Oryctolagus cuniculus: one gene and its partners. The protein of the gene in region 2 purifies or fractionates together with the protein of the main gene of each other region. This does not show direct contact. Links are inferred from orthologs where the notes say so. Each region holds a gene or a part of one and is shown on either strand. Other genes may lie near its edges.

The links. The genes of interacting proteins can lie anywhere in the genome.
Region 1: the proteins of RNPS1 (region 2) and UPF3A purify together in Homo sapiens (co-immunoprecipitation; 4 studies listed by BioGRID and IntAct, with this or other methods). This does not show direct contact. The link is inferred for Oryctolagus cuniculus from reciprocal best matches to the Homo sapiens genes RNPS1 and UPF3A.
Region 3: the proteins of RNPS1 (region 2) and AP2A1 purify together in Homo sapiens (co-immunoprecipitation; 3 studies listed by BioGRID and IntAct, with this or other methods). This does not show direct contact. The link is inferred for Oryctolagus cuniculus from reciprocal best matches to the Homo sapiens genes RNPS1 and AP2A1.

The regions. Positions count from the first base shown.
Region 1 is NC_091440.1:47,284-51,412, reverse strand, and holds part of UPF3A (regulator of nonsense transcripts 3A), read left to right. Parts: intron 1-344; coding exon 345-400; intron 401-494; coding exon 495-653; intron 654-4,129. UniProt on the Homo sapiens protein: Involved in nonsense-mediated decay (NMD) of mRNAs containing premature stop codons by associating with the nuclear exon junction complex (EJC) and serving as link between the EJC core and NMD machinery.
Region 2 is NC_091450.1:33,012,936-33,016,329, reverse strand, and holds part of RNPS1 (RNA-binding protein with serine-rich domain 1), read right to left. Parts: intron 3,193-3,394; coding exon 3,037-3,192; intron 2,571-3,036; coding exon 2,379-2,570; intron 2,167-2,378; coding exon 2,064-2,166; intron 1,915-2,063; coding exon 1,761-1,914; intron 1-1,760. UniProt on the Homo sapiens protein: Part of pre- and post-splicing multiprotein mRNP complexes. Auxiliary component of the splicing-dependent multiprotein exon junction complex (EJC) deposited at splice junction on mRNAs.
Region 3 is NC_091449.1:7,751,310-7,755,438, forward strand, and holds part of AP2A1 (AP-2 complex subunit alpha-1), read right to left. Parts: intron 3,202-4,129; coding exon 3,072-3,201; intron 2,835-3,071; coding exon 2,733-2,834; intron 2,020-2,732; coding exon 1,911-2,019; intron 1-1,910.

The sequences.
Region 1 (4,129 bases), on a different chromosome or scaffold from region 2:
GAAGAGGGGCAACCGGGACAGAATCCGGCGCCCCAACCGGGACTAGAACCCGGTGTGCCGGCGCCGCTAGGCGGAGGGTTAGCCTAGTGAGCCACGGCGCCGGCCACACATTCAGGAAGTTTAACACCTGCTTGTTCTACTTTTATGCCATCTTTGTGAGTGGTGTTTTATGACTCTAAAGAGCCAGGAATTAGCTGTGTCCAAGAACTCTGGTACAGTGTATGCCCATGTAAATTTCACGAATAATACTATTCCTCTAATTACTTAAGGGTTAAATTGAAGATAAGTACTTGAAAAGAAGTCGTGTTTTTGGAATTAAATGCCACAAAATTTCTGTGTTTTAGCTAGAAGAACTACACCTCTTTTGGAATATATTAAAAATAGAAAATTGGAAAAGCAGGTAGGTCTGGCCCTCTACCTGGTGAGTGTCCTTCCTTCCTGGATCTGCCATTTCCATGCAGATGATTCATACTCATGTTTTTCCATGGATGCAGAGAATTCGGGAGGAGAAACGAGAAGAACGAAGGAGAAGAGAGTTAGAAAAGAAACGCTTGCGGGAAGAAGAGAAAAGAAAAAGAAGAGAAGAGGAGAGATGCAAAAGAAAAGAGGCAGATAAGCAAAAGAAAACTGCAGAGAAAGAAGTAAAGATTAAGGTAATTTTGGAGAAACATTCCATTTCTTTTTTCTAGGAATAGTTTTTCTAGGGAAGCAAAGGATTTTCTGTAACATAACTTCTCCCGTGGAATTCACTAGTGATAGAGTGAACAGTTCCTGAACAGTAACCCTCAAAAAACACACGACCATTTTCCTCGTGCAAGCCTGGCCAGGCTGTGCTGCAGGAGCTTGCAGTCTCAGGATCTCTGGGTCCAACCAAACTGCAGTTTGTTTCTTGCTCATGTGTCTCTTCTGCAGCAGTAGATGGCTTGCAGTGGTCATCTGGTGACCCAAGCTGATGGAGGCTCCATCTTGGCATCTGCTGTCAGTCTTTGTGACAGGAAAGGGATGTGTGACTTGGAAAACGGCACACAGTTCTCAAAGCTTGCAAGAGGAGGTGCCATGTGTTTTTTCTGCCCATGCCAGTCATATGGCTTTCCAAGGAAGCCGGGAATAACTGAGCAGCACTAATAAACAACACTGTTTCTTAAAATGTTTCTGTCTTCAAAACTTAAGAGGGAATAGAATGTCATTCAAGCACATTTGCTTCAGAGATAAAAGATACAGATGTGCAGGAGGAATAGATAAAGCATCTGTCCCTAAAACATTCGTCTGTAACAGTTTAAGTTTGCTTTGATAAGAATTGTGTAAAGATCTATGTGGTTTTAAAATTGCATAATCTGATAACATAGGTGAAATTCAGGAGCCCAACCAAGGCTGTTAAATAAAGGTGGTCGATCCCTTGTTGGCAAGGAGAGGGGCTGAATGGACAAAACCAGGCTTTTCCTTGGGAAGCAACTTCGAACCCTTCTTTTTCTGTGTCCTTGCCTCTTTGATGCACAAACACAGCTCTCCATAACCAAAGTATAGCAAACGGATTTCTTCTAACAAACATGTTCTCAAAAGTAAGAACTGACAGTCCTTGAAAGACAGCTAATAAATCTAGCTCTGTCACTTCCTGCTCATGCACCAGGAGTGACCTATTTGTAAATATTACGGTCACTGGCATGCAAACATCATCTGATCTCATTTTCGTTTCCCTTTCCAGACGAGACCAACAGCTACCCCAGTGCCTCATGCTTTACATTCTCAAAATCACTTGTCAGCAGCTTCTTACTGACAGTTTTCAGAAAGAACCATTGAAACTTATAGCCCATGTCAACTATAATTTCAAGTAGAACTTTTGGGGTATAGCATTTTAGTTTTATGTTTTTTTAAAGAATGAAATTAGAATCTAAAATAAGTCAAAGAAATGAAACAGATTTAAGTCAGTAAAAGTAAGTTCAGTGTCCTTCACAAAGAAAAAAAAATCAGAATAAACGTAGCATGAGAAAGAGCTGATTTCATCCAAATCTGGTAAAACAAACTCTAGGTGGCAGATCGGAGGCAGCAACAGGGAGCAACCAACCCTGGCTTCTGCCCTGAGTGTCTGGCACAGTGGCCAAACATGACATTTGAGATTCAGGTCGTCCAGCCCCAAGCTTAGTTTTTGATAAACATCTGTGCTCAACTTGGGGATCTGTGACCACAAGTCATTCAGAGAATTTAAATTATTAAAAACAAACAAACAAAATGTGTGGAGCAATATGCCGACAGATGAAAGGCAGAGATGTGGAGCATGTCCTCGTGACCAGTCCTAACTGTAGGAGCGACCCAGCTGTTGAGTTCCCCCTGAGAACTCTGAAACTGTGCTGTGAGCTTAAATTAGAAGTGAAATTCCAGAACGTACAAGTTAAAGGCTAGACAACATCATCTAGGAAATTGTGTGATCTTTTTCATGGAGTGCTTCAAAAAAGATGTATGTGTCTGTGATGGGTTGCACATTATATAGTGTGTGACCAAGTTACGAGCATAGGCAGGGCTTTGTGTGTGACCAGGTTACATGTATATAGTGTACACACATATGAAGGTGTATGTGTGTGTGAGAGTGAGGTACATGTATAAGCATAAGCACATACAAGGATTCTGTGTATATGACTGGGTTACACGTAAGTAGTGTAAGCACAGATGAGTCATGTGAGTATGGGTTACACATACGTAGTGTAAGGAAAGATGAGGTGTGTGTGTGTGACTGAGGTACATGTATGAGCTTGAGCACAGACGAGGGTGTGTGACCAGGTTACGTGCAGACATGGATGCTGGGCGAGAACACACCTGTCAGTAGCTGTTCATCTCCTGATGACCTTGTGGCGCTCCCACACATCCACTCCACCTTCTTCTATGAGTGTTCCTGGCTCATCTCCAGCTCTCTTGCTTGATGAATTTTTTTCAAGTGCACCTGCTGTTTTCCTCAGGCTTCTGTGCCTACTCCCTCCACCCAGATATGCTGTGATGCCTTCTCATCTAGCCTCAATTTCCACCTTGTTCCTGTGGAGCCCTCCAGCTCCTTCTGTTGCCCTCATCAGTGTCATGTCCTAACTTGTGAGGCCTGAGCTGGCCCCAGGCAGATGGTATCAGAGGCACAGAGTGAAGATTGTGGGTACAGAGTCATTTGTTGGATGAGTGCAGGTGGAGACTTGGACCTACCCAGAGCTTGCATTTATTACAGATGTATTGCTGCTGTCAGAGAGAGCAGTGTACTCGCTGAGGGGAAGGTCAAATTTAGGGAGTCCACACAGGATTACAATGCACTCACGTGATGAGAAACAACTTCTAGTGTTTTCCTCAACTTACGTCTTTTTTGTTTGTAAGTGAACTCATTTAACTGAACATAACTAGTTTTGCTACACTGAAATTTAAAATATGTTCAATTTTATGAGAATAAAATTCCCAGAAGTGCATCTGCTGGCTCTATTCTACAAAGGATTCTACCTGTACAGGCCCTGATGCAAAGACAGTCAAATTAGATGTGTCCCAGCATCTTGCTGCACGTGCTGTAAGAAAGAGGGTCATAAGTTTTGAAAGCTGTAAAGTGTCCTAAAAGCCATCTACCTAAAGCAACTTTTTGAAAAAAATTACAGAAATAATACTTGTTTATTTTAGGTAAACTAGAACCTGTGGTGAAGGAAAGAAAATCCTCAGAGACTGGTAGTCACTGTTCACACCATATACAGAGAGCCTTTCAGACAGTTCTCTGTGTGTGTACCTAGATAAGTCACAGCCTCGTAGGACATTGTGATCCACAACAGATGGTGTATGCAGTGGAGGCCCTGTGAGACCACATGGCCTGGGGATGGCGCAGCTTGTGTCTGTACGAGCACACTCTGTGGTGTTTGCATAACATGACTGCCTAGGGACATGCATCCAGAATGTTGTTAAATGGCATACAACTGTGGATGCATTAACTTTCACATTGAAATTGGAAAATTGTGAACCTCCTGTTTGTGACATTTTTTAATTCACCACATCAACTGCCACACCACTTCTTGTAACTACAGAATATTTTAGTGGCTGAAATATTGACTGTATTGAACCAAATCCAGGTGGTTTTTTTGGACTTTCAGCTTACATCATTTTGTTACTTAGATATTTGGGC
Region 2 (3,394 bases):
TCCATCTGAGGACACACACACAGCCCCAGCCTCCCCAGTCTCAAACGCCAGCCAACTGCAGACTCTGAAGCGAAGAGGCAAATCACAAGGCCAGAAGCAGGTGGGAGCGACACAGTTCACACGGAGTTCCCAGAACACTCCAGAGGGATTCAAGTCAACTGAAAGAGAAGCTGGCTAAGTACTGGGAGAACTTAATACCCACAGGCGATTTTTCACAGAAACTGGGAAGCTACTCAGGCGTTCCCTCTCCTCCCTGTGGGCTGCCGAACTCAGCCCCAGCCCAACTACAGCAAGCAGGAAGCTGGGCAGAGGCAAGCCCGGCATTCCTTACCGTGCCGACTGAAAGGCAACACAAAAATGGTCATCCACAACTACTCATGTGCTGTAAAGACCACTCCAGGCCGGCGCCGCGGCTCACTTGGCTAATCCTCCACCTGCGGCACTGGCACACCGGGTTCTAGTCCCAGTAGGGGCGCCGGTTCTGTCCCGGTTGCCCCTCTTCCAGGCCAGCTCTCTGCTGTGGCCCGGGAGTGCAGTGGAGGATGGCCCAAGTGCTTGGGCCCTGCACCCCATGGGAGACCAGGAGAAGCACCTGGCTCCTGGCTTCGGATCAGCGCGGTGCGCCAGCTGCAGCAGCCATTGGAGGGTGAACCAACGGCAAAGGAAGACCTTTCTCTCTGTCTCTCTCTCTCACTGTCTACTCCGCCTGTCAAACAAACAAACAAAAACCAAACCAAACAAAAAAACACACACACTCCACTCGGGGCCGGTGCTGTGGTGTAGCGGGTAAAGCCACCCCTTGCAGTGCCGGCACCTTCCAAAAGGGTTCAAGACTCAGCCGCTCCACTTCTGATCCAGCTCTCTATGGCCTGAGAAAGCAGAAGATGGCCCAAATCCTTGGGCCCCTGCACCTGCATGGGAAGACCAGGAAAAAGCTCCTGGCTTCACATGGGCCCACCTCCGGCCGTTGTGGCCAACTGGGGAGTGAACCAGAGGATGGAAGACCTCTCTCCGCACCTCTCCTCCTCTGTGTAATTCTTTCAAATAAATAAATCTTTAAAAAAAAAATCAAGCAACACACTCTGCTCAACACAAACAGCTCTACACATCACAAGCAGCTGAAGGCCACAAGTATTTAAGAGTAAGTTTTGTGATTTCAGCAAACCTACCACTCAACAAAGGAATCCTAAAAATACTGGCAAACAAAAAAATGACTCAGAAGCAATGAAAAGGAAATAAAAAGCCCAACAGGGGCTGGACTATGGCGGAGAGGTTTGTGAAACCACAGCCTACAACCTCCAGCATCCCACGCACAGTTGCCAGTTCAGTCTCGGCTGCTCCACTTCCAACCCAGTTCTCTGCCAACATGCCCGGGAAAGCAGCAGATGGTGGCCAAGTACTTGGGCCCCTGCTTCCCCACGGGCGACCAGGATGGAGTCCCTGGGTCCTGGCCCGGCCCTGGCTGCGGTGGCTGAGGAGTCAAACAGCACATGGGAGACCTCGCTCTTTCTCTGTGCCTGTCTCTCAAATAAATAAATCTTAAAAGAATGAGAAAAGCCAAGCATATCTGTATAGCCTGTCTGATATTTAAGCTTTTAACAGATGGAAAGTTCCCTAAAATGCTGATACACTCATATTGTGGGATGTTTTTCCAAACCAAGTGTGCCACAAAAACACGTTTCTGGTAAGCACACCCGCACTGGAACCCCAGAGCTCCCAGGAGGGCTCAGAGGCCGGAGCGCGCCAGCAGGGCCACCGACCTCCGTCCATGTGCTTCAGTGCCTTCTCGGCCTCGTCCGGGTTCTCAAACTCCACATAGGCGTAGCCTTTGGACAGGTGGGGGTGCATCCTGTCCACAGGCATGTCAATCATTTTAATCTTCCCATAGGTGGAAAATATCTCCATGATGTGGTCCTGGAGGAAAGAAAGCTCATTCAACCACCCATTACTTCATCCTGCGATCAGCCTCCGAGGCCTGTGTAACACTCCGGAGTCAGCCAGAGCTCTGCCGAGCCCCGCACCCCCGCACCCCCCACGGTCCCGCCTGGCTCCGGGACCCTCACCTTGGTCACGTTCCTGGTGAGCCTCCCAATGTGCACTTTGGTGGGTTTAGGGGACGGGCTCCGTCTTTTCCTCTCCTTTTCATCTCTTTTAGGGGGTTTGGATCTGAGTGAGGAAGACAATGAAACACCACAACAAACAATTCCTGTCAATTCAAAACGCACTGGACTCCCTTTAGTGGAAGTTACCTGCGTACCCAACACTTTCTAAGGAAACTCTGCTACCAGTGTATGCATGTCACCCCGGCTTACAGCCTATCGGGACAGAAACACTCGGTGCGTTTACCGCCCGGCTGGCACGCGGGCTGGCCTACTCACTTGGAGCGCGAGCGCCGTCTGTTGTCGTGCCTGCGCCGGGAGGGGCTCGGGGAGCCAGAGGAGCTGCTGGAGCTGGAGCTGCGGGAGGAGCTGGAGCTGCCGGAGCGGCTGGACGCCGAGGAGGAGCTGGAGCCGCTGCTGGAGCCCGTGCTGGTGCTGGAGCCCGAGCTGGAGCTGGAGCTGGAGCGAGACCTGAGGCAGGACACCAAGGGTCACCGCCGCAACAGGCGGGAGCTGCTCCTCCACCAGACCCCGGGCGTCTGCACGCTTGCGCTCTCCCGCCTGAGGGAGGCGCCCCCTGCCCAAGCGCCTGGAGGCAGGCAAAAGGACCCGGCCACTTTCCGCCTGCACAGAAGCCTCTCCCGCTGAGGCCCTCGGCGCAGCCAGAGCCGCCAGCTCTGCCCGGGAGGCCGCTGCTCACTGACTTGGGCCGGTTTCCAACCACCAGGATAAGCTCCCGACCGGGCAGTGTGAGCACACGGCAGCGCAGGACACGCCGCACGCAACACCACTCTCCCTGCCATCACAGAAAGGAGAAAGGCCGTCCCTCCGTACACCCAGAGCAGACCCTGAGCGGCCTGGCACCGGGGTCTCTGGCACCAGCGTGCAGGTGCGTGTGGAGAGGCGGCTGTGGCTGCCGCCGGCCCGCCCGCCCCACCTGGTGCTGCTGCTGCCGCTGGAAGCGCTGCGCCGCTTCCGCGCCTTGTCCCGGCCGCGGTCCTTCTCACTGGACTCCTTGGTGGCCCCTTTATCTTTGGAGCGGTCCTTGGACTTCTCGTCAGAGCGGTCTTTGCGCTTGGTAGGAGAGGGAGCCCTGCACGGTGAGGAAGAGTGTGAGAGCGCTTGCTCCTCCGAGCAGGCCCTGAAACAGCACACCCAGAAGAGGGGGTCCGGGAGACTAGAGACCCCGGTGCCCGAGCACTCCGGTGGGCCGCACTCTCCTCTTCCCCTCTCTCAGGGTCCCTAGCGGTGAGCACCCCCGATGTAGCACTAGAAAAATCTGGCAGGAGGATTAC
Region 3 (4,129 bases), on a different chromosome or scaffold from region 2:
AGGCCCGGGGTCACGCTGGGGGCCTCAGGGTCCCCTCCTGCGGGCTGATGCACCTCAGGACCATCTGGACCGCGGGGCCCCGCAGCGCAAAACCCTCTTCAAGTGACAAGGACGTCAGCCAGTCAACGTGAGGTCCGAGACGGGGCTGTGGCAGCGGTAATGCTGCTGGTTCCTGGGGTCCCTCTGGGTTAGCAGTGGTCTTAGGAGACGCGGGGGGAGGGGAGGGGAAGGGTGTGGCACCTGTGCTTCACTGCCTGAGGGGGCTGGGGGCAGACCCCGGTACAAACCCAGCAAAGTGCTAACAACCACCATGGAGTCGGGAAGAAGGGGCCTGGCGCCTGCTCTACTCGTCTCAGCGACCTCTATTTAGAATGGTGGTTGAAAGGCAGAGAGACAGATAGGACAGGTCTCCATCCACTGGTTCATTCCCCAAATGTCCACAGTAGCTGGGGCAGGGCCAGGTCAAAGCCAGGAGCTGGAGCTCCACGCGGGTCTCCCACGCGGGTCTCCCACGCGGGTCTCCCACGCGGGTGGCGGGGGCTCAGGCACTTGAATCACCACTGCTGCCTCCCAGAACGCACTGGCAGGAAGCTGGGTCAAGTTACCTTTATGTCTGAAAATGTTCATTATAAACAGCGGTGCAGAAGCTAATGGGCGGGGGGGGGGGGCAGCACTGTGGCACAGAGGGTAAAGCCACTGCCTGTGGCACCGGAATCCCATATGGGCGCTGGTTCGAGTCCCGGCTGCTCCACTTCCGAGCCGGCTCTGCCATGGCCTGGGAAAGCAGTAGAAGATGACCCAAATCCCTGGGCCCCTGCACCCACGTGGGAGACCTGGAAGAAGCTCCTGGCTCCTGGCTTTGAATCAGCCCAGCTCCAGCCATTGCAGCCATCTGCGGAGTGAACCAGCGGATGGAAGACCTCTCTCTCTCTCTCTCTCTCTCTAACTCTGCCATTCAAATAAATAAATCTTTAAAAAATATTTGAAGGTAAAACACGGTATCTGTGATTTACTCGTCCTAAGTATTGGAGGAAAGAATCCGTGAGTGGCATCTGTGGCCAGTGGGGCGCGCGGGCCGTGGGCTCGCCCTCCTTGTCTGGGTTCTGGGAACAAGATTCCCGGGAAATAAACGGGAGCAGCCCCACGGCCTGGCTGCAAGGCCACACGGGCCGTGCCCACACGCGAGGTGCTGCCCGGGCCCACAGCGGAAGTGAGGCCACACGGCACCTGCCACGGCTCCACGGCTGGGAGGGGCCTCTCAGGTCCCCGAGCTCCTGAGCTGTTACGGGGGATGCCCAGGCACACAGGCAGACACGCGTGCAGACGTGTGCACACACACTTGCACATGCGGCTGGCAGGGGAGACCAGTGCCACACACGAGAAGGAACGGCTTGTCGGCAGGCGCCGTATGCCGTGTCCCAGCGCTCGGTGCTGAGCTGCACTGCGGGGCAGCCGGAGCCCGGGGCCTGGCCCCGCCGCAGGGAAGGGTGCTGAGCAGGTTCCAGGACCGGGCTGGGCCACTCACGGACTGCGCCAGGGTCCGAGCCTCAGCTCTGCGGGGAGGGGCGGACGGCAAGCATAGACCTGGCTCGCTGTGGGAACTTCGCTGCCACCTGTCCTGACTGTGGGCTGGGAGGAAGCCCCTCAGGGACAGGCCCCACCTCAAACAGCCCACTGACCGGCGGGCCGGCCTGGCTGCGATGCCCGATCCCAGCCCTGGCCCCTGGGTCGCCACCCCTCGCCTCGGGGCTGGGCGGGAGCCGGGCAGCAGGGCCCAGCTCTCCGCCTGCTGCTGGGTGCCGTGCAGTCTTGAGGTCAGCACCGCCTGCCCTGCCCTGCCCATGCCGCAGGTACCAGCCTGGCTGGACAGAAATCCTCGTCAACGTCCGCAGCCGAGCGCCCCGGGGTACCTGGCGGGGGGTAGCACTGCAGCAGCCGCAGGAGCTTCACCGAGAGCCAGGGCGCCGGGACGAAGTAGTACGTGTAGTCCTGGAGGTCGGTGGAGGCCGAAGAGACGATCTGGGGTGAGAAGGCGTGAGGAGTGGGCAGGGGCCCCCACGCTGTGGGCGAGAGGCAGGCTGCGCGCGCCGGGCTGAGGGTCCCCGAGAGGGTGGAGCTGCGCCTGGGCCTGCACGTGGCTGGTTTTCCACGTGCGGCTGCAGGCGGGAGGCCCAGCGCCAAGCCCAGGCCCACTCCTCGTGACGGACGACGGGGGCCTCCCTGATGGCCCCGGCTCCCTGGAGGCAGGAACCAGGCCCCTGGGCCCGACGCTGGATGGGGCGGAGCAGGATTTAGGGACGCACTGAGACACAAAGAGCTCACGGGACTTCCCTCTGCTCACAGTGAATTCCTCTCCAACCGGGAAAACCCCTCCTCTGTGCGCCCCGTGACGGCACTGCCCACCCACCAGTGTCTCCAGGCCCCTGGCCGGGAGCCATCAGGGTGAGGGCTGGAGGCGCTGGGTGTCCCCCACCTACTCCACTGCCCTGTGCTCCACCCTCTGTGAAGGGAGCGCCTCCCCCAGGAAGCCTTCTGGGACTCCCAGCTGGGCTCCTGTGCCTCCGGCCACCACAGCACGCACGGCCCTGAGTGTGGCCCCCTGACCGAGTCCCCTGCCCTCTCGCCTGCCCAGGGCCACACAGCCAGGAAGCGGCTGCGGGGGAGGGCAAGCAGAGCGGCGCAGGGCCACCTCGCAGGGCCACCTCGCAGGCCGGCGCCGGGATGGCACGTACCCGGCTCAGGCGCGACACAGCCAGGGAGACGCACGTCTTGAAGTCGTCGGGGTTCTTCTTGCAGAGACAGGTGATGAGGCTGACGGCGGCCGTGACCACGCCCTGCAGGGGGCAGACAACACCTGAGGGCAGAGCCGGCGGGTGACAGCGGTCTCTGCTGCGGGGCCGGGAAGCTCCAGGTGGCAGAAGCGTCTCAAACCCTGAGGGGCTGGGTGGGGGTGGTGACAAGGGGCTGGGAACAGGGCCGCTGGGCAGCCTGGTGGGGCCGCGGGTGGCGGCGGGCGTTCTGGAGCAGGGCCGCGCAGGGTCTGTGGCAGCTGGGCGGGGGGGGGGCCTCACCATGTGCTGGTCATTGAGCAGGTGCACCACGCGGGCCGTCCACTCGCCCATGGGCACCAAGTCAGGCGAGGCCTTGTAGAGCCGCAGCAGGCACAGGGCCGCGCTCTGCTTCACGCTGTCCATGCTGTCCCTGCGGCCACACAACGCGGGTGCAGGCAGTCAGTGCCGTCCCGCTCCGCACGGCTCCCCCATGCCTGCTGCTCCCCAGAGGGCGGCAGTGTGGCCCGGTCCCACCTGGCGCTGCCCTCGCTGGGTCACAGGCGTGTGCTGGCCCTTGCAGACAGGCAGCGGCCCCTGCTGGAGCGCGTTCACGGAGCACGCTCAGCTCCCGGGTTCCCCGCCGGGAAGCCAAGGGGGCGAGGAGAGCGCAGAGCCGGGCGACGGCGAGGCCATTTTGGACCCGGGACTCGCATCCCTGCCCCGACCTGCGAGACCTGGACTGAGCTCCAGGCACGTGGCGCAGGCCTGGCGGCTGCAGGCATTTAAAGAATGAAGCGGTGGATGGAAGATCTATTTGTCTATGACTCTGCCTTAGTATATTTTTTTAAGACCTATTTATTTGAAGGGCAGAGTTAGAGAGAGAGAGAGAGGTCTTCTATCTGCTGGTTCACTCTCCGCATGGCCACAACAGTGAGGGCTGCACCAGCCTAAGGTCAGGAGCCAGGAGCTCCATCCACGTCTCCCACACGGGAAGCAGGTGCCCAAGCACGTGGGCCCTCCTCCACTGCCTTCCCAGGCCCCTCTGCCTTTTACATAAAGATACACTGCTCCAAACTGTCTACTGTGAAAAAAGTACGGATTAATTCCAAAAACATTTGCACCAAAACAAACTGACCTTTTAATTCCATTTTTCTATGAACTCTGTCACTCTGCCTCTCAAATGAACAATAGATGGTAAAAGGAAACAGAACTGTGGTGGGCTGAATGGCAGTGGCCAAGGTGCCAACATCCCAAGCCCCGGAGCTGGGCGTCTGGTCCCTACTTCCCAAGGGGCTTTGCAGACTGGGACTGGGTTAAGGGTCAGGGCTGGGGGACGGCCCTGGCCTCCAGGTGCAGCC